Struthio camelus: one gene and its partner. The protein of the gene in region 2 purifies or fractionates together with the protein of the main gene of each other region. This does not show direct contact. Links are inferred from orthologs where the notes say so. Each region holds a gene or a part of one and is shown on either strand. Other genes may lie near its edges. The genes, in order: MGA and E2F6.

Region 1 (16,186 bases), on a different chromosome or scaffold from region 2:
CTTGGTATGTTCTCTGTGCTGTCCTATTTTCTCCAAAAATAAAGTTCTTCTAATTTTCAGGTTTCTTACTTCTGGATGTCTTTTTTTTTTTTCTTCCTTTTTTTTTTCCTCCCCCAGAAGGCAGCTATTAGTACCACCAAGGGCAGCTGAGCAAAATCAAATAGCAGAAAGTGACATGCTTGTGGCCCACGAGCTACATGTTCCAATGATAATGGAGAAGCAACACCAGGCAGTAGACATTGCCAAGGTTTTTGCTACTGTTTGGCCTAAATCAAGTAGAAAACCTTGCCTGCACAGAAGTGGAACCTCTAGTTTATCAACAGAACAGCTTCACCAGTAGAAGCCAGAGCAGTCTCATTTAACTTTGAAGGCAGTCTTGCTTTGAGGAAGTTTGACAATGACTTGCTGAGGTTCCTCCCAATTGACATTTTTCTATAGTTCTGAGCAGTTCATAGCAAAAAAAAAAAAAAAAAACACACACACCCACTAAAGAGCTACATTCCAATTTAATCTGTACAAATATCAGTTTGCACTGATAGCCTTGTTTGTGCTAAACATCATTGGGTAGTACAGAAATGAACTGTTTCATACCAACTGAATATTACCCTCCATGATCAGTGGAGCTACCCTACAGTAACTAGTGAAGTGATGGTTGTTTTTGAAACTCTGAAGTTTACTACCTAAAAGTATTCCCTCTTCCCCCTAAATGCTCCTTTCAGACATACTCCCTGCTTTGCAGCACCCTGAAAGCATGACCTACAGTCTCTACAAATTGTATTTCCCAGTGGTATCTAGCAAATCGTAATTCCTTCCTTCAGTAGTGCCTGCAAGCAAAAAGTGCAAATTCTAAGCCTACACAGTACAAGAAAGTTGCCGCCTGCAACTTAGGCGTCAACCAATAGTCCACAAAGTTGCTAGTTAGAGTTCTAGAAAAAAGCCGAGTCCTTCAAAAACTGGTATTTCTAACCTACCTCAAAAAAGAGAGTCAGTAACAGATCATCAGCTGGAGGGTCACAAGGCCCAGGCTTTGCTGAAAATCTCTATGTGGAAGAGCAACATATGTTGCAGACATAGCTGAAAACCTGTGGAGAACATGAAAGAGGTGGAGATTGTATTTTTAGTTAGCAATCTCCTTTTTGGTTTGAAAAAAAAAAGATCTCTACTACCAAGTAGAGCTACAACAGGACACTTCTGTCAGATGGTATACCTTGAGAGGCATTACTCCTGGAGTACTACTGGAGTATAGAGGAAGCTTTCAGTTCACAAACTCACTAGCTAAAAATAACAAACACAGTCAAATATGTTGTGTAAAGTTAAAACTAGAAAAAGAGTAACCAAAAAAAACACCACCTTTCTTTAGCCACTTCGGAGAATCATTAGCACAGTAGCACACCACAAGAAATCTGTTAATTCTGAAACTATGAGTTGGATTAAGCTGCCTGAACAAAGGCGTATCATTCCATTTTCTACATCACTAGTCATCCAACTGGTCTCCAACTGCTACTCCAGAAGAACATCAGCCTTCTAGAGCTGAATTTGTCTGCTGTTCACAGATGTCTTAAATAACCTAGAGCACTAAAATGGCACTGGACTCCTAAGCTTGGGTAGCAGAATCCCAGTCTAAATCTACTAAAAAGTTTACAATATTTTATTTACAATATAAAAGTAGTGCAAGTTCTTCCCTTGGTTATACTAATTAAGTATAGTCTGATGTCAAGAAGAGTATTAAGGTGTAAGTGATGACAGAATCTAGCCAAAAAGTCTGACATAAAAAAGCCATTTTATTGTAAGAAACTAACTTGCAAAAAAATTAGTTTTTCCAAAACTAGCTTTTCTTGCTGATGCAGATGTGCCAAAATACGTAACTTGTAGGTCATTCTGAACAGCAGCTGACTCCGGCTCAGCTGCCCACTCCAGCCCCACACAGAACTTACTATCCCCACAGCAAGCATGACAGTTTCTAAGGCATCAGTTTTCAACCCAGAGCACTAGTTTATACTAAGTCCAAATTCACTTCTTAACACTTGAGGCCCTGAGTATTCTAGGATGAAGTAGCAGCAGTTCAGGAACTGCTTCATAAACTGTCAGCCGCATCCTTGCAAGAGCAGCAGTTTCTATTGCAGAACAGGGTAAGCACTTTGTGGGGGGAAGAGGAATACCTGCTTCAGCTCTCCGGTGCTAATATTTTCCTACATGAGTCAAAACTTCCAGTCCTCCAATAAAGTTATTTTGCTTAATAGCATTGATCCTGCAATGTACAGTATGCAGTCGTTCTCTATCCCCCAGGAGTCACCTAAACTTTTGGGGGGAATACAGAGATCTTTCCAAGCACTGAAGACTGAAGAATAGAAATATACAATTTATTTACATAAAGTATGAATCACTTGGTGGAGGGCAGAAAAGTCAGTTTTCACTCTAAATAATCACCTTTTTTTTTTTTTTTAAACTATATCGGTAACTACGATATGTTACTATTTAGGCATTTTAAATACATTTTTGCATATTGCTTCCCATATTCTATCAGCAAGTCATTGATATGCCCACTACTCAAGCACTCAATGCAAGCTTGCTACATTTTTTCAATATATTACTTCAAAAGCCAAAAGTTATAAAATAAAAGCATACAGCAAACTTTTGTGCTTTCTGCCATACAACACTGGCAAAAGCAAGCCACAACCAAGAAGAATAACACAAATTTCATGAGTTTCACTCCTTTTACAGCCACCATGAAGAACTTGTACAATGTACATGAATCTTCAGATGAAAGTGTTGTCCACAGCATAGAAAAAAATGAAGGTACAAACAAGAAAGCTGGGCAAAACAAGACAAGAAAGTAAAAAAGACCTCATCTGAGCTCAGGACACAAAGTTACTGTTTTATAGCAACAATCATACCTACATAGTCACCTATAGCTCTAGTCCATCAAGTCATAGCTGCCAGCAAGATCTCTGTGCCCCTTTTAGACCATGGTAAAAAGGAGAGTAACACCAGTTAAAGCACTAGGTAGATTTAAAATCTGGAACCCATCTCCATCGATCTTCATTACTGACTTACCCTGTGGTCAGGCAGACCACACCATACTAGCAAAATGCACTGTATTGCAAGAGTTAGCAAAACAGCACATCATTCCATCATCACAAGTATTTGCTTAACTGTAATTAGGTGATAGTCTTGCCATTTCCCAATTGGCTTTTTCTGGTGATAGTGACTGTAGCAATGAACACAAATACTTTTTCTGTAGATGTATTTTATCTGGCTCCCACATTCATTTTCTGTCTTCTGTACTGTTAATGTCCCTTACTGCCTTTCTGGTTTGGGCTTCATTTTTTCTGACTACCTTCGTCTCGTGACAGACCTTCTCACCCATATCATTTTTACATCATTCTTCCTTATCCAGTTCAGAAAGAGGCATATCAAGGATTTATCGTAGGTACTAAAACCAGCCAAAACGCAACAATGAAAGGGGTACTCCATATTACTGGGGAAAGAGAAGAGCAACTCCACCATCATTAGACTCTTGGTTCTTCAGTCACCCAGTAAAAAATAGTAAATAATATCATCCCTAATTGTGGAAGAACAAGACATCAAGTAAGCTTTGCTGTTATCACAGCCAATGGAACTGTTTTCTAATTGCGTATCATGGCGGAATTTGAGTAGATCTTCTGCTGTTTATGAAGCAGCAACCTGACAACAGCCTGTTCTTAGGCAAGAGCTCTTTCCCATTCCTCTAGGTGGAGATCTTTTTTCACTGGGTTTGTGAGAAAGAAGGGATTGTATTTCCAATCCCTTAGGAAACTGGGCAAAAAAAAAAAAAAAAAAAAGCCAACAAACACCACCACATACATTCAAATTGACTAAATCACTTTTAAAATAAAAAGGTAGCAAAAGCTACAACAGAAAGAATTTCTTTTCTAGTAGGTGATCAAATAAGTGCCTTCATAAGTAAACTAACAGTGGTTTCCCTCCAGTGTGTGTTTGCCTCCCATGACTCACACTATAACACATGCACCAACACTGAGCAGACAACCAGCACGCATGACTAAAGGCCAGTTACTGCTAGATGGACTACACTGTGAATGAATTCTGCCCATCTCAATTGGAACTGAAAACTATGGTTTTTTCCCCCACACATACATTTAAAAAAAAAAAACCACTACCCATATAAACATTTTCTAGCAGAATCAATTCCTCATTCTGATTCTCAGTACAGACACACAAACAACTGTGCTTGCAGGCACTGGAAGGATACTGCAGCATCACAGTGAGTGGCTGTGCAGGGCAGATCACCTTGAATTGGTATTGCCATTTTGTACAGTTAATTCACACCTTGCCTCTTCTTTATGCAAACTTCAGTTTTCAAAGTCTGTAGCAACTTCAAGTCTTCAGCGCTTTGGCTCACTCTCTCCAGCATGGTTAAAGATAACCCACAAGTTTAGAAGTTGTGCGTGAGCAGTAAGATAGCATGACTGCATAAGCTTTGATGTCTTAAGAAACTAGGCAAAAAAACCTCAAGCCACATCGCTGGAAGCCACTCTTCTTACCAGGCTGAAGAAACACCTGCTAAGCCTTATCCTTCCAATTGCTACTTAAGGTTACTTTCCCAGCTTTTAGTTCCCTGTCGAACTTCCCGTTAACTACCTTAGCACCTAAACCCACCAAGAACTGAAGAACCCAATCCTTGCAGTGCACCACCGCTCAAAGGAAGCGCTGTTGTTTATTTATGAGGCGGCCCTCCGTGGGAACGCCCTGCAGGGCCTGGCGGTGACAGTCCCCGGCGGGCTCCACAGCCCTGAACGCGCAAACCCGCCACATGAAGCCGGCTCTGGAGCCACGTTAGCTCGGCCTCGGCTCCGCGGCGTTCAACCTCCACTAGGGGAAGGCAGGAAACTACCAGAATAACGGGCGGCGCGCGGAGCGACGGAGCCAGACGCCGCGTAAACACGGGCTGGCGGGGAGCGGCGGCGGCGGGGCGGAGGCGCGGGCTCGGCCCCTGCCCCCGCGCGGCCCCAACGGCCGCCCGGCAGCCTCACGCGACGTGCCGAGGCGCACGCGCGCCGCCGCGGGCCGGCCGCCTCCCTCGAGCCGTTACGCCCCGCCTCCAGCGCGCGCGGCGGAGGGACGGCGAGGGAGGGCGCGGGGCCCTGCGGCCGCCCGCTTCTCCCTCCCCCCCCCGCCCCGCCGCCCGCCCCCAGCGGCGCCGGGGCGGGGGGGGGGGGGGGAAGGGGGGCGTGGACGTCCCAAGGCACTGGGGCAGGCCCCCGCCCTGCTCCTCCTTCCCCGCGCGGCTCCCGGGGAAAGGGCTCCTGGGCGGCACGGAGCCGCCTGCAGGGCGAGGCGCGGGGAACCCAACCCCGTCTCACGGCTCGCACCAGCCACGCCTCCGTCGGAGGACGGTCCCGGAGAGCGCGATGGCTCCGGGACGCGGGAGCCCGGCCCGGCCCGGCCCGGCCCGGCCCCTCCGGGCCGCAGCACCCGGATGCGGAGCCGCGAGGCTGCTCGGCCCCTTTAACCCCCTCCCCCCCCAACCGACCCGCGTCACGTGACCGCCTGCACTTACCCCCCCCCCCAGTTGCCCACCCGCGCGCTCCCGCGGCCGCGACCCCGGAGGAAACGGCGGGGGGGGGGGGCCCGGGAGGACAGAGAGGGGCACCCGCAGCCCAGCGCCACCCCCGCCCGCGGCCCCCTCGCCTCAAACGCGGCCCCCCTGGGCCGTAGAGGCACGGAGAGCGCACGTGTGATTGGGCCGCCGCGGTCACGTGACGCGCACACCTCACGCCACCTCCTCGAATAAAACTTCAAAACTGGGGGGGGGGAGGGGACAGGAGCGCGCGGGCAAGGCCCCGAGGCGGCCGCCAACTCCTACCTGCCTCCCGCCGCCGGCTCCACGCGGCGCCGGGCGCCCAGCAACACCCCAGCCCACGCGCCCCGCTCGCAGCTCCGGAGGCCTTCGCCTGCCACGCGCAACCTCCTGCCGTCTTCATTGGCTGCAACAGCCCATCACGTGGGCCGCTCCCGGGTTTTTTTTTTTTTTTTCCTCCTCCTCCTCCTCTGCCTCCCCCGCCCCCGTCCTCCGGCTCGCCGCGCGGCGGTGCCGCCCCCGCACGGCCGGTACCGGCGGGCGGCGTTCAGTGCGCGGCGCTCGCGGGGGCGCAGGCGGCGGCGGCGGTGGCGGCCGGGGCAAAGCTGCCTCGCGACGCCCGCCAGCGGCGCCCTCCCGATTGGCTGGGGCCGCCCGCCGACGCACTTCCGCTCCCTCCGCCTAGGCCACGCCCTTCCTGCCCCTCCCCCGCCCTTGCGCGAGGGAAACACGCCGCTCGCGCGTGGGCCGCACGGGCGCGCGATCGCCGTTGGCTGCCGGGCGCCGGTCCCGCGGGGCGCGGCGGCGCGGCGGCGGCGAGCAGCGGCCCCCGCCCCCGGGGCGCCCCCGCCCCTCCCTTCCCCGCCCCGCCGGTCCGGCCCGGCCCCGCTCCGCTGCCTGCGGCGCCGGGCCGCGCGCGGGGGCTGCGGCCTCTGCGGCGGCGCCCCCTCCCCCTTCCCCCCCCCCGCCGCCGCCGCCGCCGCCGCCGCCGCCGGCCCCGTCGCGCCCGGGGCCCGCCGCCGGGGGCCGCTGGTCGGCCGAGGGGCGCCGGGGGAGCGGCCGGCCGGGGTGGGTGGGGAGCGGGCAGGGGGGCAGCGGCGAGCCCCGTCGCAGGGCTTCAGCCTCGCTGCTGCGTCCGGCAGCGGCCCGAAAAAGCCGTGGTCGGTCCTGCATCGACGAGCGCGGCCGCTGGGCACGTTCCTCGTGTTTTAGCGAGGCTTTTTTGTCATCTACAGGGGCAGCTGCCGAGGCAGCGAGCATCGCTTCTCGGGTCTTCAGGGCCGGCTGCCGCTGCGCCGTGCGACTCGTGTTTTAAGGCTTATTTTAAGGGGCGAAACTGGGGGAGGCACGTTTCCAAAGCCGCTCTTAAAGGTTCCCCCTAGCAGGGCTCAGCGTCTTCCCTGAATTCTGTCATCCGTGCCGCGCTGACTTGGCTGTGATAACTCGGTTACCGAATCTGTAAAACGCCTGCGTAGGACCCTTCTCTAACCGCATGAACGTCTGGGGGGAACAGGCTTTACATACGCAGCCCGCTGTTCTTTCTTACTTTCTGTGGTATTTGCGAAGGCCAGACAAACGCACTCATTTGCACCAAGGTATAATGTGTCGGTCGTGATGGAGTAACAGCCATACATCAAGCTGACTTAAAAAGCCACTGCCCAAAGTGAAACGCCGTTGCACGTGACTAAACACTTTTGTACCTCTTCAGCGTCTCTCAGGCACAACCTCATTGCTTCAAGAGGACTGCTGCAGTGAGGCTTGCTTGTTGAGTAGAACTGTACTCGCGCTCACTACGGAGTTAACACAAAGTTGCCTGTGGTTATTCATAAGCTGAAAGAGTTTAGCAAATAAAGGCTGTATGACCTTCAGTGTGGGAGGTATTCAATAATACCTCTAAACAGAACACCTGTATTTTTTGTAGGTGAAAAAAAAGTGATTCTGGAAGTTACCATCTAGGAAATGTATATTCAGTCCATAGCGAAATAGTGGAACAAATGTTAAAAAAAAAAAAGTAAACATTTAGCAGAGAAGAAAGCGTGAGCTATAAGCCGCATCAGTACATAAAGATAGATAGTACTGGATGAACTTGATGACAATTGTAAATAAAACTGAAATGAACAAAAAGTACGGTAACTATACGTTAATGAAAAAAAGTTAAACATCTTGCAAAATCTTGCAAAATCATTTCAGATTGACTTGGTTATAGGCAGGTCACATGTAACAAAAGCTAATTTAAACTGTAAACAAAAGGTGTGATAAAAGGCACTGCAATGTGTTCTGCAGGAGCGTCTGCAGCCCTAGACTAACGTTTCTGGGATGAAGGCCAAGGCTTTGAAAGGTCCCTAGTCACCGTAGGAATCACCATTCCTTGGGTACCGTAATACTGCTGAGAATTTGTGCCAATACGACTTAGGAGACCAACCAGAAACGTAAAAAGGGAAGTATCTAGTTAGGCATACATTTACACTTTTGCAAAATCTGGCCTTTCAATTTCCTTTCTAGTCAACATTAGTTTATACTTGAATTTCAGGAGAATGGAGGGGTTGGTTGCTAGGTCACTGAGATGCTTGCAAGTATCTTCTCTGTCCTATTAGGGAACTATTTGTTGAGGAATCCTTTTAAACAGTTTACAAATGTATTCAAGTATAAGCTAAACCTTTGTGGAGTCTTTGCAATTTTATAATCAACGTTTGGAGTCATTTGGGTTAGGTTAGCATTAGGAGCTAGATTAGAAAGCACTGGTGGTGTTAGGTCCTGTATATTTGGAGTTCATGAGCAGGTCAAGGAACCACCAAGTTTCAACTATTTCTTTGAAATTATTACTACTGTAACAAGAGATGCGATGCCCAATTCCTAGATGTAAGATGCATTTTAGTTAACAGGAAAAACAGAGAAAGCAGCAAGCAAATTAAATTTGTAATTTGACGTTAAATTTAATGATGTTGCAAATACAAAAAAGACCAAAGAAGAAAAACAAAGGCAGCCAAAAATGCTGGGATATGGACAAGCGAAAGATAATACGTGCAGGGGAAATAGATCATTGATATTTATTTCAGAGAAAAAAGACATTTTGAATGTAGGAGTTTTGAAGGAAATCTTATGGTGTTTGTGAATGTCATAGAAATGAGCCAAGAATGCAGTATGGCTGGAAAAAAAAGCGTTGTTTTGGTCTCCAAGCACAGAAAGCCTCCTTCATCAGAGGAAGCCAGAGCTTAGGATTGCTCTGCTGAAAAATTTCCTGCGCCATTCAGATTTGGAAATCTTCATTTTGAAAAGGTAGATGCAATTTAAAGCAGAGATGACCAAACTACGTGGTGACGTTTTGCAGAAAAATTGCTGCTCATTCCGCTTTTTGTTGCCTACAAACTATCTTCTGTTTGTTGGCGAATCAGACTTTTTTTGAAAGCTAAGTGTTGGGACAGCAGAGTTAGCGAGAGAATCAGGGAGCTGAATAGGTGAGAAAAAGAGTGTTCCTCCTTTCCCACTCCTTTCCTTCCTGAGTACATCTGTAAAAGGGGAAACTGGGGAAGAGCAGTACCTGTTCTTCTATGGATCTGTTTGCCCAGGGCACGTGCTGCTTTTTCCCATCACTACTTCCTCCAGAGGCACCCACTCATTATCCCGTTTCTCTCCGCTTGCTCTCCTGTTCGCAGACGCATTTGTTCCTTCACCTCGCGCCCTCCACTCGCTCTGCACCAAACTGGAACCTCTTCAGCTCTCCCGTTCTGACCCCTCCCTATAAACCCATCATGAGAGTTCCCACGGAGGAACATAGTTAGGAAATAAAGGCATATGCTTCAGAGAACTGAGCAGAAACAGGCATGTCCTTTTATAGGAAGAAATTATACAGGTTTTGAGTGGGCTGAACTAGTGGGAGGAAGGAAGTATGATACAATGAGAAAGGGAGGTGCTAAATCTGGTCTACGCTTAAGGCTGGCCTTTTATTGCCAAATTCATTACCTGGTGTGTTTATTCCCAGTGACTGCAGAATTCAAACCCTGATAAACACATTTTGTTCTTCCATTAATAACATCCATTTATAATTAGTCATAAGGTAAAAATAATTACATTTGAACAACAATAATTGCATTTAACAGCAAGCACCCCTTCTATGCTTGAAGTATGTTATTTGAATTCTTAAGTCAATCACTGAAAGACTACAAAATGTCAGAATTAAGGATGCAACTTCCTGGGCACTGCATGAGTCAGGCTCATATGAAGAAAATAATGTGTGAATATTTCATGAAATCAGCATTACGCACATGGGAGACAATTGTAAAGCTGGCATTTACTCCCTTTCTAGGGCTGATTTTGCATCCCCAGCAGGGGCTTCTTTATCTGACGATATGGGAGGAAGGAAGGGTTCACAGATGGGGGGGGGGGGTCCCTCTCTAAGAGTCCCCTAATGTTATTTTCATTGGGCAAAGTTGTGAGAAAGATCAGTTGTCTTGGTTACACGTGGAGCCACTGCCGCTGTGCAGCGTCATCACGCCCGAAGCCTGAACGTTGCCCCCGCACGCCTAGCGCTGGAGCTGCAAAGGCAGCTCAGGGGCTGTACAGCAGGGAAAGGCAGTTATTTCCAGAGCTTGAGGCCGGGGATCCGATGCTGAGACCCGAACGGCAAGGGCAGGAAGAAGTCCTCTCCAGATCTTCTTCAGTTATTCCGCAACGAAAAGCGGCGGGCGCCCTGAAAGGCCTGTCGCTAGCTTTGTTGCCGTTTTCCTTTCATGGGCTTAGTGCAGCCTGCCGGCAGCTCACTTGTCCCCAGCCGGCTCCCCCCGGCAGCCCCTCTCCCAGGCGCCCGCGTCCGTCGGCCCCTGCCCTGCCCAGCCCCGAGAAGGAAGAGCCGAAACGGGGCAGCCTTTCAGCCTCTTCCGCGGGGCCAACAAGGCAGAGGGGAGCCGCGCTGCGGCGCTCGGACGAGGCGAGTTTCTGGCTGCAGCGCCTCGCCGCGCCGCTCGGCCCCCGGCCGGGTGCTTCTTTAAGGCAGAAGCGTCCTGGGGACGCGCCTGTGGTGGGAGGTTTCGCTGCGGGCCAGCTCCTGCCCGGAGAGGATGGCTCCCCCAGGGACCGGCGAGCAGCCGTCCCAGCACCGCGCCGCCGCTTCTCCCGGTTGCTTTATTCGCTGGAGGTTCGTAGTCCCCAGCTGCAACAAGCCCGGCCAAGCCCCGTACCTTTGCTCCTCCGTTTTGAAGGCAGGGCGGCCAAAGAGACCGTTTCCTGCCTGAGCGGCCAGCGCGGGCCAGGAAACACGGCCTCGTGCTGCTCCTTCGTTAAGTAACGGGTGACTCTGAGAGCGAGGGGTTAAGCCTTCCTCCAGCAATGCAGTGCTGCAAAAAAAAAAAAAAAAAGGGATTATGCTTCCTTGCAGGCGCAATTCCCTGAGGGCAGATCCTTATCGCAACAGAATAAATCGGAGACCTTTTAATAAACCGGAGCGGCGGAGAGGCGGGGGTGGGGGGCAATAAACCTTTCCTGAAATATTCGGTTAGGGAGCTGCGGCAGCCGAGGAGGAGCTGCAGGCGAGCTCGGCCGTGCTGGTTGCGGGAAGGCGCCTGCTGCCCCCTCGCCTGGGGCTTGTCTCCCTCCTCCTTCCCCGCTCCGGCCTGGGGGACCTTGGATGCCGGCGGCGATGGGGGTCCCTTCCTCGGCCCCCGGCGCAGGCAGAGGCAGACTTTGCGTGCCACTGGGTACCGGCAGCCGCTGGTGGCCTCCGGCACGGCCCGGGGCCGGTCCCCCTCGCCGTGCCGCTGCCTTGGTCCTCCACGCGCGGAGCCGCCCCGCGAGGGGGGCACCGCCGGGACGCCGCCGCGGGCCCCTGCGCTGCCGTTTGCTTTTCACCCGCAGGAGCGAGGAGCTGCCCTGGAGATCCCGCTGCAAGCACTGGTTGTGAAGCGGCTTGCCGGCGTGGGCGAGCGTCCGTGCACGAGGAGCTGCCGCTTCTGAGGTACCTTGTCTAAACGCCCCTGGCTGCCCTTTCTGCATGTGCCAAAGCCGCTCGTCGCTTCCTAGAATTATTTCCATGGAAATAGGAATTGTTGATGGTTTCTCAGATGTGGGAAGCCAGTAATTTTCATGCTGCAATATCGTCATGCAAAACAGCTTTTGGAGCCCTAAACCATGTGGGGCTTTAGGCAGCAGCGGCAGCCGCCTGCTCTCGCCCTCCTCGCCTTCCTCCACAGCGGCACCCGGCATGGCTCCAGGAGCCTGGCACTGGCAACATGAAGCAGCAGGACGGGCAATTTTATTACCTGAAGCAACCTGCTGCCAGAGGAAACTAATACAGATGTTCTCCAGGGCGTCCACTTAAAGCTAGCGTTATTCAGCATGCTACGTATTTCCTTGAAATGCCTCCAGAGACATTGTGATATGGCACAGACAACGCAACCACCAAAAAACAAAGAAATACGTGAAACAACCTCCCCAGAGATGCTGCCGATAAACAACATAACCACATCACAGAACCGCTTAAACAACCGAGGAAGTAAATAACCAACAAACAGTGCACAGCCTGAAAGCTGGCGCTTGCAGAAGGCATTTCTGCTTCCCTTCCAAGCCTGTTTCCCTGGTGGCCGCACAGAGGAACCCACCAACTGCACATCTAGAAACCTCTTCAGTTTTTACGCACCAAATGTGAACGCAAAGCAAAATGACTAGTTTGGGGCCAAATTCCAATTTGAGCTACTTCCCATAGTTTTGCAGAAGTCGACAAGTATAACTAAGGAGAAGTAAAAGTGTGGCCAGGAATATCTCCCTGCTTTCAAACCATGCGGAGTCAGAGACTAGAATTTTCTCTCTCTATCAGTTATGACAGAGAGAGAAATGATCAAATTGTTCCTTACTGACAACTGAAGTGTGTTAAAAAATATATTTGGAAACATAAGCAGGATTACTATGCAGTGCTCTCAGGCAAGCGCGTTAAGCAGAGCAGCGCCGTGAGGCCGGCAGGACAGCGAGGCTGCTGCGTCGGGCCGGCCCGCGGGAAACCGCCCCAGACCCACTGGGGCATCCCGGGAAAGGTCTGTGAGCGGTCGCCAAAGCACGGGTGCCAGCCAGGCACGTGCGGCTTCCTGCTGGATGGAAAGGCTCGCGGGGCCAAGCGAAAGCCCACCGAAGGCCCTGGGAGCCCTGCCAGGGACTGCCGTTGGCGCTGGGTCTGGCCCACGGAGGGCAGGATCCGCAGCTCTCCGCGTGACACCGCCAAAGTGGCAGAGCTGTGGCAGCAGAAGAAAGGAAAGCGCGACCGAGGGGAGGTGTTCAGATTACATGCAGAATAGGCTTTCATGGACAAACAGCCAGGAAGGGGAAATCCGCAGGGGAAAAATAACCCACTGGCTAACTGTGGAGGACCACATATAAATCACATATAGATCTGCAGATCATTAAATGAATGTCTTCAGACATCCGAAAAGCCCACATTTAACTGTATTTATAGGCCCACTTTCGAGGAAAGTAAATAATGAAACGTGAAGGATTTTGAAAACCAGGGCAAAGTCTGCTCTCGGCCTCATCTCTAGAGCCTCTCCAACCTCTGTTATATGAGGGCAGACAGCCATTCATAAGAGACAGAAATCTTATGCTGCAGAGATGTCCCGGATGGGCTCGTCACCCCTCACTGCCCCCTCTGAGCTTTCCCAGCTCTTGCCCTGCACCCTCCGACCCCGCTGCCTGGCTTGGCCCTCCGCAGCCAGCCCTGGGTTACCAGAACAGAATTTCATCCCAAACATCCTCAGAGTGAAACTTTGGCAACTTCCCGCTGGCCTAGGGCTTCTTTGCATACTCACAGAGGGGGTCACAGCACAAAAGTTGGTGCAGCAAGTTCAGCTGCTGTTTCCAACATCCTCTCTGCAACCAGAAGTTCAAGCAGGAAGAAAACCGATGGCAAACCTTATCTGCGGGCGCACCTGCGCCAAGGACAAGGTAGGTCCTGCCCTTCCGCAACACCTGCTGAAGGCAGGGCAGCACCTTGCTTCCAGCTGCGCTAACAGGTCCGGGTTAAAAGCAGGTATCGGGGAAACACCTCACCCTGCTAATGCATGGGAAGACTATAAAGTCTTGTCTTCTTTAAGATTTTACCCACGTTCTCCCTAACGTTGAGCTACGGACATCTTTTTCTTTATTTGCAAAGTTCACTGTCAGTGACGCTCTGTTGCCCAGACCATTTGTAGGATGTTTACTGAGAAAAAAAAAATCAATTAATTTTTCTAATGAAAGTTTAGAGTCTCTTTGGAACAGAGACAAGTGCAGATTTTCTACAGTCACAGATTTCTCCTGCCAATAAAATTTGGTCTAGAAACAGGCAAGCTGTAAAGCACGATTTTGAACTCTTGCCAGTCTTGTGATGGCATCATCCCACTGACTTCCGCGGAGCTGCTGCTCCCTGACCCTGCTGCCCCGTCGGCGTCAGGGCTCGCTGGTGCTAAACGACGCCTCAGCAGGTGCGCAAGCCTGAGGAGGAAAAACTGACTCTGGCCCAGCAAATCATCTTCACACAAGAGAGGGCCGAACACGGTACGAAGGCAGATGGGGTGAATTTCCAGATTACAGGCTGAATTCTTCTCTCAATAGTTTTTGGTTTTTGTTTTTTTTTGTTTGGTTTTTTTTTTGTGCCGGGAAACCAACCTCCGATGATCTCTGTGGATCTCTCTCGGATGATTTCATTGATTTGCACCTGTATAAGCAAAAGGAAAATCAGGCATTTTGTGCAGCAGGCCTCTAGTGTAAGTTCTGCTCGAGTGATACGGTGATTTTCAAGTGCAAGAGCATAAATCTCAAATAAAGTCCCTGTGGGCCAGCTGTTGTCTTCAATTACAGTATTGCAGCCCCCTACTGCAGCTTTACAAAACTGCTTTACCAAGCAGCCAGGGAATATTTCCCTGAGTATATTAAGAGAGAAAAAAGAGAAATATCAAGCCATATAATTCTCTGATAATAAACAGGTTCAGCTCTTCTCATTTGGGATTTTGCCCAGTCATGCCTGCAGAAGAAGATGGCCCACAGGCAGGGCAACAGCCCTGGGGATTTTAAGCGGTGACCCAGAGGAATTTCCTCAATAATATGGAAAATATTTCAAGTAACGAGCCAAATCTTTGCCTCAGGTGCAACCCTGTGTATCAGCTTCAATGGAATTGCACTGGCATAGTTGCGAGTGTTGGCAGACAAGCTCGAGTGAATCAGACTGGGGGGGAGGGAGTGTGAGAAGTTATCTGGCTTGCTCCGCCAGAGATTTCCACCCCCACAGCAGCGCTGGTAGAAACATGGGCCCATGCCTCATCCGCTTCCGTGCAACGTCTGCTGCCTTCGCTTCAGCCCACCTTGATCAGCCCGGCCATCGCCAGTCCTGGCTGCCAGGAACCCAAATGCCAACGGCGGGGAGTGAACGAATACTCGGAAGATGGTTACGTTTTAAACTGCCTCCGCTGTTTGCTAAGTAAATGCGGGTCAAAGCCCTGGATGTGACACAATTCGTGTAGTACCGCAGTTTTGTCCACGGCTTAGGACCCATGTCTGAGCCCTGCTGTGTAACGGCACGCAGTGGGTCGGTGGGAAGATGCTTCGTCCCAGAGCTCAGTCCAGATCCCTGCACGACCTTGCAGCTTGCGTCCTCCTTTGCCTCAGAGACTGCTACAGGTACAAGGTCCACGGGCACTGAAAAGCTATTAAAGCGCAGTTGCTTCTCATAGGCCCAGCCACACATCTGCAAACTATCTCTGTACCAGCTTCTATTTATAAATCTTTGTGCAAGAGGAGGAATAACGTAGACAAATAGTACTGGAAAATGTATTTATTAGGCCTGAACCGCACTTGATGTTAGTGGAGCCATGCAGATTTACATTGTTTCGCGATTTGGCCCTTGTTATTTTTAGCTTCTTTTAATGTAAACGAACAAGTAGAAACAATGAGAGCCAGCAGTGAGTGACCAAAGTGCTCTCAGCTCTAGGTGATACCAGCATCCCGCAAGCAAGAGCAGCTACTGCAAAGGCATTCATTGGCTGAGCAGAAGTAAAGAGCCAGCAGCAGTCTCCCACGCAGTTTGGTTAATGACAGGGTAGCAACCAGGATCGGTGTCTTATATATTAACTAAGAAATAAGTGACCTTTTGAATTTGCTGCACTAATTGTCATGTTGCTGCGTACAGAACGCTGTTCCCTCCAATGTCCCACAGTTTCTCTCAACTCCCAGTTTTTGCCAGCTTTGTGTGTTCATCAGGATGTAGTGCAATATATTATATTTCCAATTGGATTTTTTAATGCATACAAACCCTCTTTTCTTGTCACAAATTCCTGTTTCCTCTCACAGCAGCCTGGTAAGATTCAGCTCCTATAAAGGCTCTTCTGGAAACTATTCTAGTCTCATTAAATCCCTACTGAACTCACCACCGCTTAAATTAACAAGTGCAATCCATTTCCTGAGGTCAATCATTTCTTTTAGTTCTGTTTTAAGCTAGTGAACAGAAGCTGGAGGAAACAAAAGCTGGTGAGCTACTTTGCAGGCCACGGCTGGAGCCCGCCTGCTAGCAGCTACGGCTGGAAGTTCATCAGAGTGCGTCCGCCCGCCCCAAAAGCCAGGCTCAGTGGGAACGGCGACAGCGCTGCTGAAATACTCCTC
Region 2 (15,629 bases):
GTTAGGCTATAATACATTCACCCAGATCCAACTCTGCCTTCAATGAATGTGCTGTATCATAAGACTTAGCACATGCATGAGATATTACTCTAATTTCAAGCAGGTGCTATAAAACCCTTTTTCATATTATGAAATAAAGTTAAGATGCTAATAAAGATACATGGTAGGTTATACAACAAAAAAGCTCATCTCCACAGACATAAAGGAGCATAGAGGCACAATGGCAGGTGGGGAAACACCAATAACCAGTCTGATAAATGGATACCCCAACCCAGCTCCTCCCAGGGTAGTCCAAGGAAGGAAATAAAGTCCCAGGGACCAAAGGGGAAACCCACCCATAGAATAAGGGCAGCTACTCCCTGTAGGGTATGGGACACATTATGGCATGCAGGGGAAGAGCATTTGGGGATTGCAGAAGATTAATTATGGGATGTTTAGGGGAGGAACTACAGGAGGGGAAAGGACAGGATCAAGGTGGTTTGGGGAGGAACATGTGTGAGGAAATAGATAAGGGAGAAGAAGGGGCTGGTCACATGTAAACAGGTCGCTGGTCAGTATGTTTGTCTGGCCATGCCCCACACCTGTTCAGTGCAGTCTGTCCTGTCTTCTTATTAAACCTTATGTCTAAGAATTTTCCTGCATGAGAGGCTCTCTTTTGTGTGCGCATGTGTGCGTATGGAGGTCTAAGTGCCAGCAACTGGAGTTAGGCTGCGGGCCAGAGGGCCTGTGTGTCTGGGGTGCCAGCAACTGGAATGAGTGCGGGTTTGTAAGTCAGTGTGTGATCGCTAGCAAATACCAAGCTGGACTAGCTGCCAAATAGGTTCGGTGACTTGGGAGCCAGGTGTGTGTGTGTGTCTCTGAGAGTGAGGCACTGGAGGAGTTGGCTGCCTGAGGGACCAGAGGGGCCAGTCCAACTCTCAAAGAGACCATGAGGTCTGGGGTCAACTGAGAGACCCATTTATTTGTGGTGTGTGTGTGTGTGTGTCTGGGTGTGTGTCTGAGTGTGAGGCATCTGGGGAGAATTTGGGACCACCTACGGTATGGACTGTGCATCTAAGCTCAGTTATTGGAGAGATCCACCGTGTGTGTGTGTGTGTGTGTGTGTGTGTGTGTGCGCGCGCGCGCGCGTGTGTGCGTGTGTGTGCGTGTGTGTGTGTCTGTGCCTGTGTCCCTCTAAGTAGGGAGGTCTGTACCAGCCACTGGAGTGGGGCTTTGGGCCTCAGGGGATCGTATGTCCAGTTGCCAGCAAGTGGATCAAACAGCAGCTACCAGGTGCACTGAGCGTCTAAGCCCAGCTACTGGAGGGATACGCACCATATACAGGTATGAATTTCTCACTACCTGACCTTCATTCCAATCAGCCTGAGAGGGGAACAAGATGAGGCCATAGGTATTGTCTGTGTTTGTCTGAGTACTGAGTGTGTCTGCCTGTATTGTTCTGTGTGGCCTGTCCTTTGTATTTTTGTAGCTGTATATAGTGTGTATTTGTATATCTGTATATTGTATATGTGTGTTTGCTTGTGTGTCTACTAGGAATATATGCTTAGCTTTGCTAGTGGTTGGACCTGTGGACTAGAGTTGCAGCAGCCTTGTTTCCACTGAGCTACTAGATTTTACAGCTCCCTGACAATAAAAATATTAAATGAAAGTATCTCTCCATCAACCTTGTTTTCATTGTGTTTAAAATAACATAAAAATTGCAATAGGGCAACCCTCACCTAAAGCAAAAAAATAACTTCAAATAGCTAGAAAACTTGTTAAGATATTTTCAGCATAAGATACACAGAAGCCATCTTATGAGGACATGCTTCAACTTTTCCATACATTTAAAGCTGACAAAATGAAATACATCATGCACTTTTGAAACTCTTCTGGCTAATAAATAAAAATAAACATAATTCTTATTACTCATTTTTCAAAATCAAATGATGACTCATCATAGCATTCTGCTGCATTACATATTAGTTAGATACCTAGATTGAAACCACATATCCATTACAATTTTTCATTAATTCATAAACAGAGGTGTCTCCACAAGTTAATATTAAGCTTATGAATTGCATATAACAATCTCTACTCAAAGTTCAAACTGTTTGATTTTAGCAACAGTTTTAGTTACAGTTTTAGTTTAAACTAAACAGTTTTAGTTTAACCACTCCCTTGAAGAGAATCAAGCAGAAAATACATTATTTACCTCTCAACTATATAGCAAGAAGCAGCTATCAGAAGCTTTTTGGTATTTCCATTGTTTTATGCACTGGAAGTTGCACTAGGCCTGTCCAGAGGACTCAAACTGGTTTTGCATTCAAAAGAAAAGCAAATACCATATTGGCAATTCCCAAAGTTTTATCAGAGGTATCATTTTTACTATGGAGGATTCTTGAAAATCAAAACTACGTGAATCCTTTTAAAATTGTTGTCAAGTGTTCTGTATTAATTAGCATGGAATACTCTTTAAAATACTTCCGCTGTTTTATCAATAGCCACTTAATCATCTTTTATATTCTAGAATTACCTTTATGTCACAAGATAGTGCCGCATATCTTCTGCGTAAACTTCAGTAACTTGCAGGCGATCTTTGCTGCCTTGATTAACTCTCATAATTTCATTCCTCTACTCGTTTTAGAAAATGCAAATCCTCTTCTTTCTGGGAGATATATTTTTAGAGGTAACTACTGGACAGTAATTTTGAACATTACCATAACAATAACCATCACGGTCATATCTAACACAGAAGTATACCCTGTCAAACTAAATATGAACAATAATCATACGTACAATATTTGATCTCTAACAGCAAAGAGGCTAAGGGAAACGAAGCATCTTTAAAGAGAGGGAAATCAGATTTGAACACTCAAAAGTTCTCCACAGTATTTCTCTCAGCTTTTTGTAATGAAGGAATTGAAAATCTCCACTCCTCTTTGGTATCAGAGAGCCTTCTACCTCAATTCTTCTCATCTAGGTTTATCAATTCTTCTTTCATGCTCAATGCCTGAAGCAGGCCAGGAGTTCTGAAGCACTCCTTCAATAACAAATACAATAAAGCCCACTTGCAACAGAAGACTTCTGTTTATAAACTGCTTAGCATGAAAATCACAGAATCACACAGAATCACAGAATGCTTGAGGTTGGAAGGGACCTCCGGAGATCATCTAGTCCAACCGCCCTGCTCAAGCAGCGTCCTCTAGAGCATATTGCCCAGGATCACATCCAGGCAGGTTTTGAATATCTCCAGCGAAGGAGACTCCGCAACTCTCTGGGCAACCTGGCCAGTGCTCACTCACCCGCACAGGAAAGAACTTTTTCCTCACGTTCAGATGGAACTTCCTGTGCTTCAGTTTCTGCCCATTGCCTCTTGTCCCATTGCTGGGCACCACGGAGAAGAGTCTGGCCCCATCCTCTCGACACCCTCCCTTCAGATACTCATACACATTGATGAGATGTCCTCTCGGTCTTCTCTTCCCCAGGCTGAACAGGCCCAGCTCTCGCAGCCTTTCTTCAGAGGAGAGATGCTCCAGTCCCCTAGTCATCTTTGCAGCCCTCCGCTGGACTCTCTCGAGTAGTGCCATGTCTCTCTTGTACTGGGGGGCCCAGAACTGGACACAGTACTCCAGACGAGGCCTCACCAGGGCTGAGCAGAGGGGCAGGATCACCTCCCTCGACCTGCTGGCAACACTTTGCCTAATGCAGCCCAGGATACCTCCAGCAAGTTCTGGTTAAGACCTCTGCCTAGAAACTCTCAGGTTCTTCCAGATGGGAGATGGCTTGCAGCCAAGTTTCAAAACCCTACTAAACACACAACATTCACTGAACCTTTTTAATAACATACAACAGTGTTCATATGCGGCAAGCACTTGCTCTTTCCTTAACCCTAATGACCTCCTCAGGGTACTTTTTCCATCTATTTAATTTCTTATCTGGGTTACAGGTACAAAAAGTAGACGGCTTAGGTTAATAGCATGTCCTAAAAAGGTTTATCTTGCCACAGATACCTATATCTATGTCTATGACATACCATGTCACAGATATCTATGCCTTTTAATTTTATTTCAGGTGTACAATGCAGGACATCACAAAAAAAAAAAAAGAATGCTGCTTAGCGCTGCTCTGTAAAAGATTTGATGCAATTTTCCCCATACTCATCTGACAAATGAAAGAAATTGACTTGATTTCTTAAATTAATGGGTGAGTATTCACCATCTATGCAGAAGCAATTTTTCTACCCAGATTAAGATAAGCAAATAATGTTTCACATCTTTATGCCTAATCATTATGCAGTGGTGAAGACCTTTAATAGGATTTCAGGAAGGCTAAGAAGCTTACATAAACAGGCATAATAATATACCAAAATATACATTTTAAACAAATACTTACAGCCATTTCTGTTTTCCATGATTTTTCAGTTTTGCGTCTTTGCAGGAAAATATTTCCCTGCTCATCTTTGCAACAGTACATACGAACCTCCTGGAAGATTCACTTACAAGTTTATTATCACTAAATAGAAGACTGTATTTAATACAGGATCTCTCTTAAGTGTGTATAGTTTCTTACAGAATAAGGCCTTGGTTTTAATTGTAGTATTGTACAAATTCTATACATATAAATAAAATAAATACATACTAAATGAGGATATAAACATATCTGTCAGGTGATATTTAGGATTATGCATACAGGCTAATAAATACTAACATGAAACTAGTGTAATAAACAATAAAAGACTAATGGGAAAGCAATGACATTCAAAACAAATTTTAAATCATTAGAGTGGGAATATAAAATATACAAAAAATTCCATTTTGTATGAAACCTAAACCATGCAGCACAAGCTTCACCATTAAAAATTTTATATAAAACAATCTAATTTCAGCTGCTCAAAATGGAAGTACAACACTTGCAGGAGAAGCACATATAAAATAGAACATTCATTTTATTAACCTCAATGGAATTAAATTACAGTAGTGAATTTTTTTAAGCAAATCATATTTTAACTTTTATATATAGCACTTTACAAATTTAGTGGAACCACTGTTCTAATATATACTAATTTTAACAAATCAGACTTAGGAAATGGAATTACCGCCCCCTGGTGGCAGATCAAAAATCAATTCAAAGTGGTAAACAACTTCAAACTGACAACCAAGCAAATCTTTCACTTTAAGAATCGTGTCCAGTACGGTTAATGCCTGGAAATATCACAAAAAGCTAAAGAGCTATTTTCGTATGCAATAAGATAACAGTAAGTGGAGTATAATTTACATTTTCATATGCTAGTGCATTAACCAAAGAATTAATGTGGAAGAGATTTCATTATCAGTTTTATTAAAAATAAATAGTAATGCACTAGAATTAAACCCTTTGATCAACAAAATGCCATAGCTGAAATTCCTGACAGTTCAGTTTCTTCAAAACCTAATTTTCATTTAAAATAAGAATCAGAATTTACACTTTTCACGTGAATGTCAAAAAATTTTCCTGAATCTGAATCAGTGTAGGACTTTTCTTTGCTCAGTTACTTATTTCCACAAGCCCATTGATAGAGGCACAGGAACAACAGAATTTTATCTTATGAGCAGCTAGAAAAACAGTACAGTGTTCTTTTCTAAAAGATGTAAATGTTGACACAATGTTTTTCACATGGGTTAAAATGGAAATGCATGTGTCCTAATCCTCAAATTATAGTACTTAGTCTTCCTCCCAGAGTCTGTCTATCCAATAATCATCAAAATTATACGTAAAGATTTTTATGCTACATGGCACATCCATTACGTAACCCCAAAATAAAGTGGTTCAAGACATCTATTCCAAACCATTTTGCTGTTCCAGATGGAAAAAATTGCTTTATCACAGTGGGTTTATACGACCTGTGACAATAAATGTAACATATGTCTTCCAGTCAAGAATACAAAGAGGGAGACATTTTGATTCCTTGTGGGAATATAGATTTATCACCTTGAAGTAGTCAGCAAGAATTATCATGTTCATAAAAAATGAATATGAATCAGGAATGTCATGCAAGTGTTTTATCTCACCGTGATGTGTTGTTGCTTCCATGGAGAACCTTTTGCATTTGCATTAGTCCCAGCTCTCCTGAGAATACAAACAAGCACCATCCGCATCTTCAGATCTACAACTCAAGTCTTCATGTCTCCTGATACACAAAAATCATAGTTTTGAGGAGTTAAAACATACTTTTTTTTCCTGTTTTTTTTTTTTGTTATAAACTGATTAGAACATGAGAACAACATACCTCAGTTCTGTATGTCTCTACAGGGACAATTATTGTTACGCAAATCATCGACTAGAAATCAGTTGCTACACAGAAAATCCCATCCTGTATCAAGAGATCTGATGTATCATCAGTGGCGCCAAATGCTACTCCAAAGGAATATCTAACCTGCAAGGATAAGAAACAGCTAGTAAATGGAAATGGATTCAATATTTTGTCAAGATAATAGAATGTTAGTTGACCTATCCCATCAGATGCATTGGAAAATGAATCAAGTCCTTCATGCCTTAGACTTCCTCATAGTAGACTAGCAGTTTCACAAAACGTCCAGTGAAATTCACATTTCTACAGAGCACCTGCTTTGAGGGTGTGGAAGGTGGGGGGGACTTTAATTTTCACCAAAAGTTGTAGAGCAGGGAAGCAAAATAATTCAGAATGTTTTCACGTAAAAGAACTCTATGACAGAGCATCTATTGTACCATATGGTAGAGGCCGTTAACTGGCATAAACAGCAATCAATCAACACACGGTTTAACGGACAAAAAGAGTTACATGTTTTACAGAAATGTTTTCATCTGACAAACAGGAGCTAGCTACTAAGCGATGCAGACAAATGAGCAAGGAAACAGTCAGTGCCTGACAAAGGATATCAGAAGTATGGAAGGAAGCACGGAAACTGCCAGTGAATTGGGTATTTGGGAAAAGATTTGAGAACTCCTGTTGAGAGGGAAACGTGCAGGCTTAGTTGAGGCAGCTGCATTTGTTGGCTCCTCTCTGGCCCTTGAGGAACGTACTCAGCTCTTCCCCCACTAACGACTTGTAATTAGTGATTCTCAGTAGGGTCATGGGATCCTGATCTCCTATGGCCGCCTGCTCCTGGCCGGTCAGGACAGGAATGCATTATTTGGCAAGAAGCAATAGTAATTATTTCCACTTGTCTTCAAAGGTGCCTGGGCAGGGCACTTTCTCCTGGCTTACATTGCACATGGAGGGAACGCAAGGATCCTGCTTTCAAATAACTGAGGTAGTGAAAACTCCTGTTTTAATCCACTTTAGACCACTGGGGTGGTGAAGGGAGTTCTCCTTGCCACCCACAGCCCACTGGAAAGACACGGGGGGAGGCGGGAGAGCAAATCTTTTTTTTAATACTGCTTCGGGGTGGGGAAAGGGGGCAACAGCGCAGGGAGCACCAATCTGGGCGATACTCGAAGAAGCCTCCTTCCCCTCGGCGCTCAGAGGAGACATCTCCCCGGCGCTCCCGCAGGCGTGAGCCAGGCAATCGCCGCCGAGCTGAGAGAGAAAGGCGCCGGCGGCGGCCACCCTCCCCCCACCGCGACCAACGGCCGTTGAGGCCCCGGCGGGCGGGAAAGGCGGCGTGGGCGGGGCCGCTGCGGGACCTCGCCGCAGAGGCTCGTGGGTAAGGGAAGTCGTCGCTCGCCGCCCTTTTGGCGGTGGGGGGGAGGGAGGTTTGTCGTCGTCACCTGTCGCGCGCCGCGCTCGCGCCCGTCTCCGCTGAGCGGGCTGAGGCGGCGCGCGCGGGCCGAGGTGGGGTGGGGAGGGGGGGGCAGCCGAGCGCGCGCGCGCGCGCGGCCGCCGGGGCCCTCTCTCCCGCCCAACGGTCCGCTGGCGGCGGTGGGGGAGGGGAGGTGCGGCCGTAACGGGCTGCGGCGAGGCCGGGAGGTCCCTCTACCACCCCTCTGTCCCCTCCTCCCTGAGGCGGGGTGGGGATGGCGGCGCCTTCTTCCGACATGGACTCGCAGCCGCCTCGCCGAGGCCCCTGAGCGCCCTCCCACCGCCGCCTGCCCGCCGGGCGGGAGAGGCCTGCCTCAGCGCTAGGCCGCGGCCGGCCTGAGGAAGGAGGAGGGGCCGGACGAACATGGCCACCCCCGCCAAGTGGGAGCGTCTGAGGCCGCTGCAGCCGGACACGCTGCGTGTGAGTGAGGGACACGGCGGGCGGGCGGGGAAGGGAGGTACTGCCGGCGGATGGGGCTAGGGCGGGACGGCCCTGCAACGCTGTGCTCCCGCCACTGAGCGATTTAAGGCGATCCGGGAAAGTCTTTCCTCTCACCTGTCTGGCAAGATATCCCTGAGCGGGGAAGATGTGGTGTGCCTGGCCTGAGAAGTACACAGAAGCATAGTGATGCTTCCCTCCCTCATGGCTTTTTAGCAGGCTGCCTGGGAGAGGAGGCTGTCATAACGTTAGTGAGTGCAAAGCAATGTCTTTCCTAGCTGCGCTAACTATAACCTGTTAGTCGAGTTAACTAGGTTGTAGATGTGTTTGAAAAATCAGTTGCAGGGTGGTGCTTTATTTTACTCTTATATGAACGTCTGTGAAGTTCAGGTAATCTACTTTTCTGTGGTATCTGGCATTACTTTTAGTAATGTTACGAGGTAGCTAATTAAAAATAGGTTTACTTTTAATTCTGTGTCACTTTCTTTAAGAAATGCTTGGTTTTATTAACTTCAGCTATTGGGCTAAATGTTATTTGGTAGCATTGCCTTCCTGCTATGAAAAGGTTTCCCTGAATTTTTTCCATCAGTAGTTGAAAATTTCTTACTACTAGAGATGGTGATTTTTAGAGACAAAGGGTGTAGGGCACAACATAATGCCGCGTGATGGATCAGCCAACCAGAGGTGCTGTCTTGAATCTGCCTCTCATCAACAAGGAAGTCAAGAGTGTGGTAACCATTAGCAGCCTTGACTGCAGGGGCCACTGAATAGTGGCGTTCAAGATGCTAAGTGTAGTGAGGACGACAAGTAGCTGAGCGCGGATGCTGGACTTCAGGAAAGCAGACTCCAGCTTATTCAGGGAACTGGTAACTGAGATTTTTTTTTGGAAGGTGACTTTGTAGGGTAGAGGAGCTCAAGACCTGGGAGTTCTGGTAAGCACACCTTCACTCAAGCATGGGAATGTATCCAGGAATGTACCATCCAGATACACAGGAAAACAAGATGTGTGGAGGCATGGCTATGCCTGAGCTTGGGGTAGGGGGATCTGCAGGTGGTGGAAGTGAAGTCAAGCTACAGAGGAGAATTGTCTGGACATGTAGGCATGATGTAAGGAAAGCTGTAGCTCGGTTAGTGTTGAAACTGCCAACGGATGTCAAGGGTGACAAAGAACTTTTACCTTAGCAGTAAAAGAATAAACAGGAAAACGTGGATCTGCTGTTGAATGGGGCAAGTGATTTAGGGACAGCAGACACAGATGAGGTTGAAGTACTCGGCCTTCTTGTTTGGGTCTTCAGAAGCGAGGTTCTGTAGGCTCTTGTATCTAAGGATAGGGCTCAAGGAGAAGAGGAACTACCAGTAGTGGCAAAGTATCAAGTCTGGGATTTCTTGAGAAATCTCAGCCCCTACAAGTCTCAACAGGACCTGACGGGATGCTTCCAGAGGGATCTGAGAGAGCTGACTGATATCATTGTGAGGCTGATCTCTGTCATTTTCAAGAGGTTGTGGAGATCAGGTGCAGGTTGGTCAGCCACACTTCAGTCTCTCAAAAACCATGGAGCGAGTTCTCTTGGAAGGCATTTCTTAGGAACGTGAAGGAGAAGGTGGTGACTGGGATTAGCCAGCATGACTATTCTTGCATGACCAAACTGATTATCTTTTTTGATGAAATGACTAGCTCTGTAGATGCAAAGTATTGGATATCATCTGCATTGACTTTAGCAGCACTTTTGAAATAGTATCCCACAGCATCCTTGTCTTCAAGCTGGAAAGTTACAGATGGTCAGCTGCATCTATCCTGTATCTTTATGGGTGATCTGTAGGAGGGCGTGGGATGTGCTCTTGCCAAGTTTATGGATGACACCAAATGAGAAGGGGAAAGTGCCATAGACCCCTAGGCACAAACTGGAGGAATGGTTCAACAGGAGCCTTATGGAATTTCATAAGGAAGTTGACAATTCAATTCAGACTAGAAATCCGGCCACCTGACCCTATAGCCCCCAGTGGTACACACTGGGAATTGAGTGGCTGGGGAACAGCTCTCCTGAAAGGACCTAGGCATCCTCGTGGACAGTAAGCTAAATGTGAGCCAGCAGTATGCCTGGTAGTGATGAAGCCCTGTGGGACTGTAGCAGCAGGAGCATAGCTAACAAATCAGAAGAAGTGATTATTTTTCACAGAATCACAGAATGGTTGAGGTTGTGAGGTTGTGAGGTTGTGTCTTCTTTATCTGGCGCTTGTTAAAGTACTCTTGGATTACTCTGTCACACTTTAAGAACTCTAGTACAGAAAGGATGTTGATAAACTTGAGTGCTACCAGCAGAGATCCACCAAAAGCGGTCTGGAGATTAGTGTACATGAGCTATGAGGGAAGCTGAAGGAGCTGGGCTTTTTAAGCCATAGCAGTGTTCCAGTACTTACTAGGAGGTTATTGAGAAGATGGAGCCAGGCAGTTAACAGTAGTCCATGATGGAAGGATGAAGGAACCTCTCTCGCCTCTCTTCTTTCATTTCATGCCTTTTTTCCAACTTGATATAAGGAGAAATGTTTCACTATGAAGAGACACAAGCAGTGGAAGAAGTTGCCCGGAGAGGTGCAGCCTCTATCCTTGGGGGCTTTCAAGATCCAGCTGAATAAAGCCCCGAGTAAGCTGGTCTGATATCATAGCTGTTCCTGCTTTGAGCAGGAGGTTGGACAAGAGACCTCCTGAGGACTCTTCCAGCTGGAATGAGTCTATGAATTTGAAACTATTCATTTTGTTTGAACTGGAGAGGGAGAAAGGAAGAAAGTAGTTGGGATCATCATGTCAGTTTCAAGACCAGAGCAGACTGCTCGTCTGGAAGTCTAGTACAAAATAACTGTGATGCTGTGTAATATCTGGGTATCTTTTGTATGTGAACTGTTACAGGGAGTGTCTGAAACTGGTGTTTATAGAGTGTATAAAGCTACTGCTTTGTATTGGAACCATTGCCTAAGCGTTGGGGAGTTTTGGTGGCATTTCCTGCTTTCCAATACAGAGGAAAATGTGTTGAGATTAAAGCTTGAAAATTCTGACAGGAATTAATAAGCAAGTACCTCTTCTATCCAGTGAGATTCCCTCACAGTAATACCTGCTGAGTTGTCAGTGCTGTGATCCCTGTAGCATCTACAGCTGAGGTGGGGTTTCACGTGGAGAAGCTTCCTATGTAGATGAAATCTCGTAACGTCAGTTATCCTTTTAATTCTGCAGCCACCAGTGATCAACCTGAATGTGGAAGATGAGGTACAGTTTGTAAGAAGTAAGTTTCTGCATTCCATATGTAAAGATTATCCGTGAAGTATATTACTCTTTTTTACAATGTCGAGTAGGTGTTGTAAACAAGTGTTGTGTGTCTAGTAAAGACAGAACAGAAGGAATGCTGCACACTCGGTGAAATAGCAAACACAATGCAACACATTCTTTGTTTTCCTCTTTTCGTTCCATCTGCTGCAATTATACCTCCCCACTCCTATAATGAAAGTGAGGTTATGGAAAAAATGAGTTAGAGAAAACTGGAACATAATGCTGGAAAAGTTTGCATTTCAACTGGCATTAACAAATGTAAATACAAGCTTTAGTGAATTTTTGTGTCCTTTTTTTTTTTCCTCACTAGTTGTACGTTTTCTTACAGTAATAGAGTCCAGAACTGATTAGCAAGTTGTTGAATCTGTCACCTCATATTAAAGTGTCCACAAGCTTGCAGCAGTGGAATGGATATGATATACCATGAGTAAAAGTGCACATTGCATTCATCCTGGGAAAAATGTTGAAGATTATAAAGTAGAATGTGCTTCCCAGGGGAATTTCCTTACATGCGTGCACGCACAGATGCGCACACTCCCTTGAGGCATTAAACAGGAATGTTCAGTGATGCGTTTTGATCAGATAAGAAATATGTGGTTTCTTTGCAGAAGAAGACACAAGTAACAGCGGCGTTTGACGGTCTTTCATTGACTCTTGCGTCAGAACCCCTTGACTAGTGCATAGACATCAAGTCTTTTTGGTGCTTTAAAACAAAGGAGTACTCAGGCATATATAAGTATGTAACAATCTAAAACTAACCAAGCTGTTCATCAGTAGCTCTTCTGCTGTTTCTGAGAATATGCTGATACTGGGAAGATGCAGCACAGGGGTCTCTCTTAAACATGTGGTGTTATGGTATCTGTAGATCTTCATCTCTATTAGTAAACTCAGTAATGACATCAACAGCTCTTTAGGTCTGAGGCCAAATAGTACAACCTATGTTTGTCCATATATTAAGTTCTTATACTCCAGAACAGATTGGTCACATTCAGATAGAAATAGTCCCTAAAACCAGGCTAACTCTTGAATTGTGAAATTATTTGGGAGACTGCTGGTTGACCTGGGCCAAAGGGATATGAAGAACTGTTTTAACAGTCTAACAGAGCAAATATTAGAGTTTCAGTTCTTGGGCAGGGCCCAGGCACTATCTAATGTACTAACTTACAGTTGACCTATGTTTTTACTAGTATTCACTTAGTAGTTTGAGTCTACATAGCGCAGTGAACGTATGGTAACATAACTATTAATATCCATGTTAGCATGAACTTTGAAAGCGTGAAGATGCATGATTGCTTTTTAGATACAATTACTGCAGACCAATAAAGGTGCATTTGGTTAACAGACTTTATATGATGCCATCTCAATGTCAGTGTTTTAAATGATTGTAGTGTTTCAAGATTTTTATCTTCAGTGCTGTTGTTTGTTTAAAAACTACTTAATATTGTTGTAGTAGTTTATACTAAATATTGCGTCAAACCTTTACAGAGACTCTGAAAGTCACAAAGCCTCGATTCGATGCCTCCCTGGTTTATTTGACCCGAAAGTTCATGGATCTTGTCAAAACAGCTCCACATGGCGTCCTTGATTTAAACGAGGTAGCAAGAACTCTTGGAGTACGGAAACGAAGAGTGTATGACATCACCAATGTGTTGGATGGAATCCACTTAATTCAGAAAAGATCTAAGAACCTTATCCAGTGGGTGTGAGTTGGCTTTGAAACTTCTAGTTTTGGAAACAATAAAAACCAACAGTACTAAGTAATGTTTTTAGCTTGGAGCTCAGAGTATTTTTAAGCATATTTAATTACTTTGGATAAATGAAGCTGTCTTAAATTCTATTGCATCCTTAGACTGTCTGAATTACATACTATATTAATAATTATCAAGTAGGAGAAAAAAAGCAACAATGAAATGTATTTCAGCAGAGCAAAGGATGCCAGAATTCCTTATTGGTTCTTATTAGTACGTTTTCTGTATTCAATAAACAAGCTCTTACTTATATAAACCTACTAGACAACTTTCATATTCTTTTAGAGGTTCTGATCTTGATCAAGTTGTTGGAAAGGCACCAGAGCAGCAAAAGCTTAGAGATGAACTTTCTGACTTGTCAGCCATGGAAGAAGCCCTGGATGAATTAATCAAGGATTGTGCTCATCAGTTATTTGAACTAACAGATGACAAAGAAAATGCAAAATATCCTTTTAACTCTTACATCACTTTATCTATCACATGATTTTGATCACTAGTGCTCAGGTATCTGGTAATAGGTGTAGGCAGACACCACAGTTAGGCAGTAATACTTGACTATGTATTTTATGATAGGGAACTTTCTGGGTTCCTTATATTAGTGTGTATTAGACATGTGCCCTCTTTTGCAGAATCATATGCAGTCAAGTACCTTCCCAGGGAAGTGCTACTTGAATGACTTTTCCACTGCAGAAGTTTGAGAAGAGGTGAAGTAAAAAGAACTGGAGTTGGACTATTTTATTCTTCTTTTCCTTTGGCACTTTGCAATGTAAAGGAAAGAAGAGTGTATCAGTGGCAGAGAGGGTAAGGAAGAGGATTATATTGAGATAAGGAGTCGTTTGGAACAGTAATGAAGAGGAAAGAGTTAAAATGGAGATGAAGCAATAGTCTCAGTCAGTACCTTGACCATGTTCTTGTTCTCTCCATTATAGAATAATATCTCGGGGAGAGACTTTGCCTACCAGTGAGATTGAGTTGATTAGTTAGATGAGAGAGAGGACCTAAAACAGAGTCCCAGTGACCTGTCAACAACAACATTGAATGGTATGGTGGTTGTTCTGTCTGTTGTGAAAGATTCCAGTGTAGTTTTATCTTAAAGGGGGTCCTTGATAAGAGAAAGGGGATTTCCTTTTTTAAATTTTAATTTGATATAAACATTGTTGAGTGGGTTTTTTTTCAATATTGAATATCTCAATCTTTTTAAATTTTGTTTCCCCCTTCTTAAATAAAGAGAAGGGCTGTTCTCCTGTCAGCTACTGCCTAACATTACAAAGTCTAATGTTAAAGCAACCTCAACCGAACTATTTACTGCTTTTCTTAAGTAGGTCTTTTGCTTCAACATAAGTTAACATCATACTCTTTGCTTCTGCCCATTAACAAATTTACAGAATCCTTGACCAATGTATACACTAGCTTATGTGACATACCAAGATATCCATAGCATTCAGGCATTTCAAGAACAGATTGTTATTGCGATCAAAGCTCCGGAAGAAACGAAATTGGAAGTACCAGCTCCTAAAGAAGTAAGTTTTATACGTTTCTCTCTTAAAGGAACAAAAACACTGGAATCTGACCTTGCAACAGCAGTCAGTAATTGACTTCTAGCAATCAATAATTGGCTTCTAGCAATCAGTAATTGACTTCCACTTTATTTGTCATGTATAGCAAATAGTGGTACTTCCATTTTTCTAGTGTTGCACTAAAAAATGCAATAGGTAGAAGAGTCTAAGCAACTTTTTAGACTATGGGGATTTTTGTTTACCTATGTTATTAAACAATAAACATGTCTGAGCTTTAGTTATTACTTTGGTTTTGCTAGAGATAAATAACACTTATTATAGCTGCTCCATTATTTCCAGTATCAGAGTATGTTTGATAATTATGTGGATAATGAAACTTCCAACATGTTGTTAACGTTTGTATACTAAATTGTATATGCAACTATAAATCTAACCAAACAAGATAATAAAATAAGCATAATTTGTTAATGATGTAGCAGCAAATAAATATTTTCTTATTGCTTAATGAATGTAAATTTGTTGTCACTGAAATATTGAATTAGGACACACATAATACTGTAGCCAAAATCAAAAAGTTTTGGCACTTTGGTGGATTATGTCAAAATAGATTTTCCATGGAGGTGTGGACGTATCAAAACTAGATAGCTTATTTGTAAGATTTATTCTTTTGTTTATATGCAAGTCATTGTTTTATAGGATAGCATAGAAGTACATATAAAAAGCACAAAAGGACCCATTGACGTGTATCTGTGTGAGGTGGAACAAGATAAGCCAGGTGCCAAAACTTTTGAAGATATGGATACTGTGTCTTCTGAAGCAAAGCCGACAGTACCTCCTGATGAAGGTAACGTCCGCCATTTACGTATTT

Evidence for each region.
Region 1: the proteins of E2F6 (region 2) and MGA purify together in Homo sapiens (affinity purification with mass spectrometry; 3 studies listed by BioGRID and IntAct, counting the BioPlex papers as one, with this or other methods). This does not show direct contact. The link is inferred for Struthio camelus from reciprocal best matches to the Homo sapiens genes E2F6 and MGA.

What each region holds. Positions count from the first base shown.
Region 1 is NC_090946.1:41,709,737-41,725,922, reverse strand, and holds the start of MGA (MAX gene-associated protein), read right to left. Parts: upstream 6,094-16,186; 5' UTR 5,864-6,093; intron 1-5,863. UniProt on the Homo sapiens protein: Functions as a dual-specificity transcription factor, regulating the expression of both MAX-network and T-box family target genes. Functions as a repressor or an activator.
Region 2 is NC_090944.1:23,559,627-23,575,255, forward strand, and holds the start of E2F6 (transcription factor E2F6), read left to right. Parts: upstream 1-7,775; 5' UTR 7,776-8,102; coding exon 8,103-8,159; intron 8,160-11,403; coding exon 11,404-11,452; intron 11,453-12,981; coding exon 12,982-13,198; intron 13,199-13,529; coding exon 13,530-13,688; intron 13,689-14,649; coding exon 14,650-14,764; intron 14,765-15,457; coding exon 15,458-15,605; intron 15,606-15,629. UniProt on the Homo sapiens protein: Inhibitor of E2F-dependent transcription. Binds DNA cooperatively with DP proteins through the E2 recognition site, 5'-TTTC[CG]CGC-3'. Has a preference for the 5'-TTTCCCGC-3' E2F recognition site.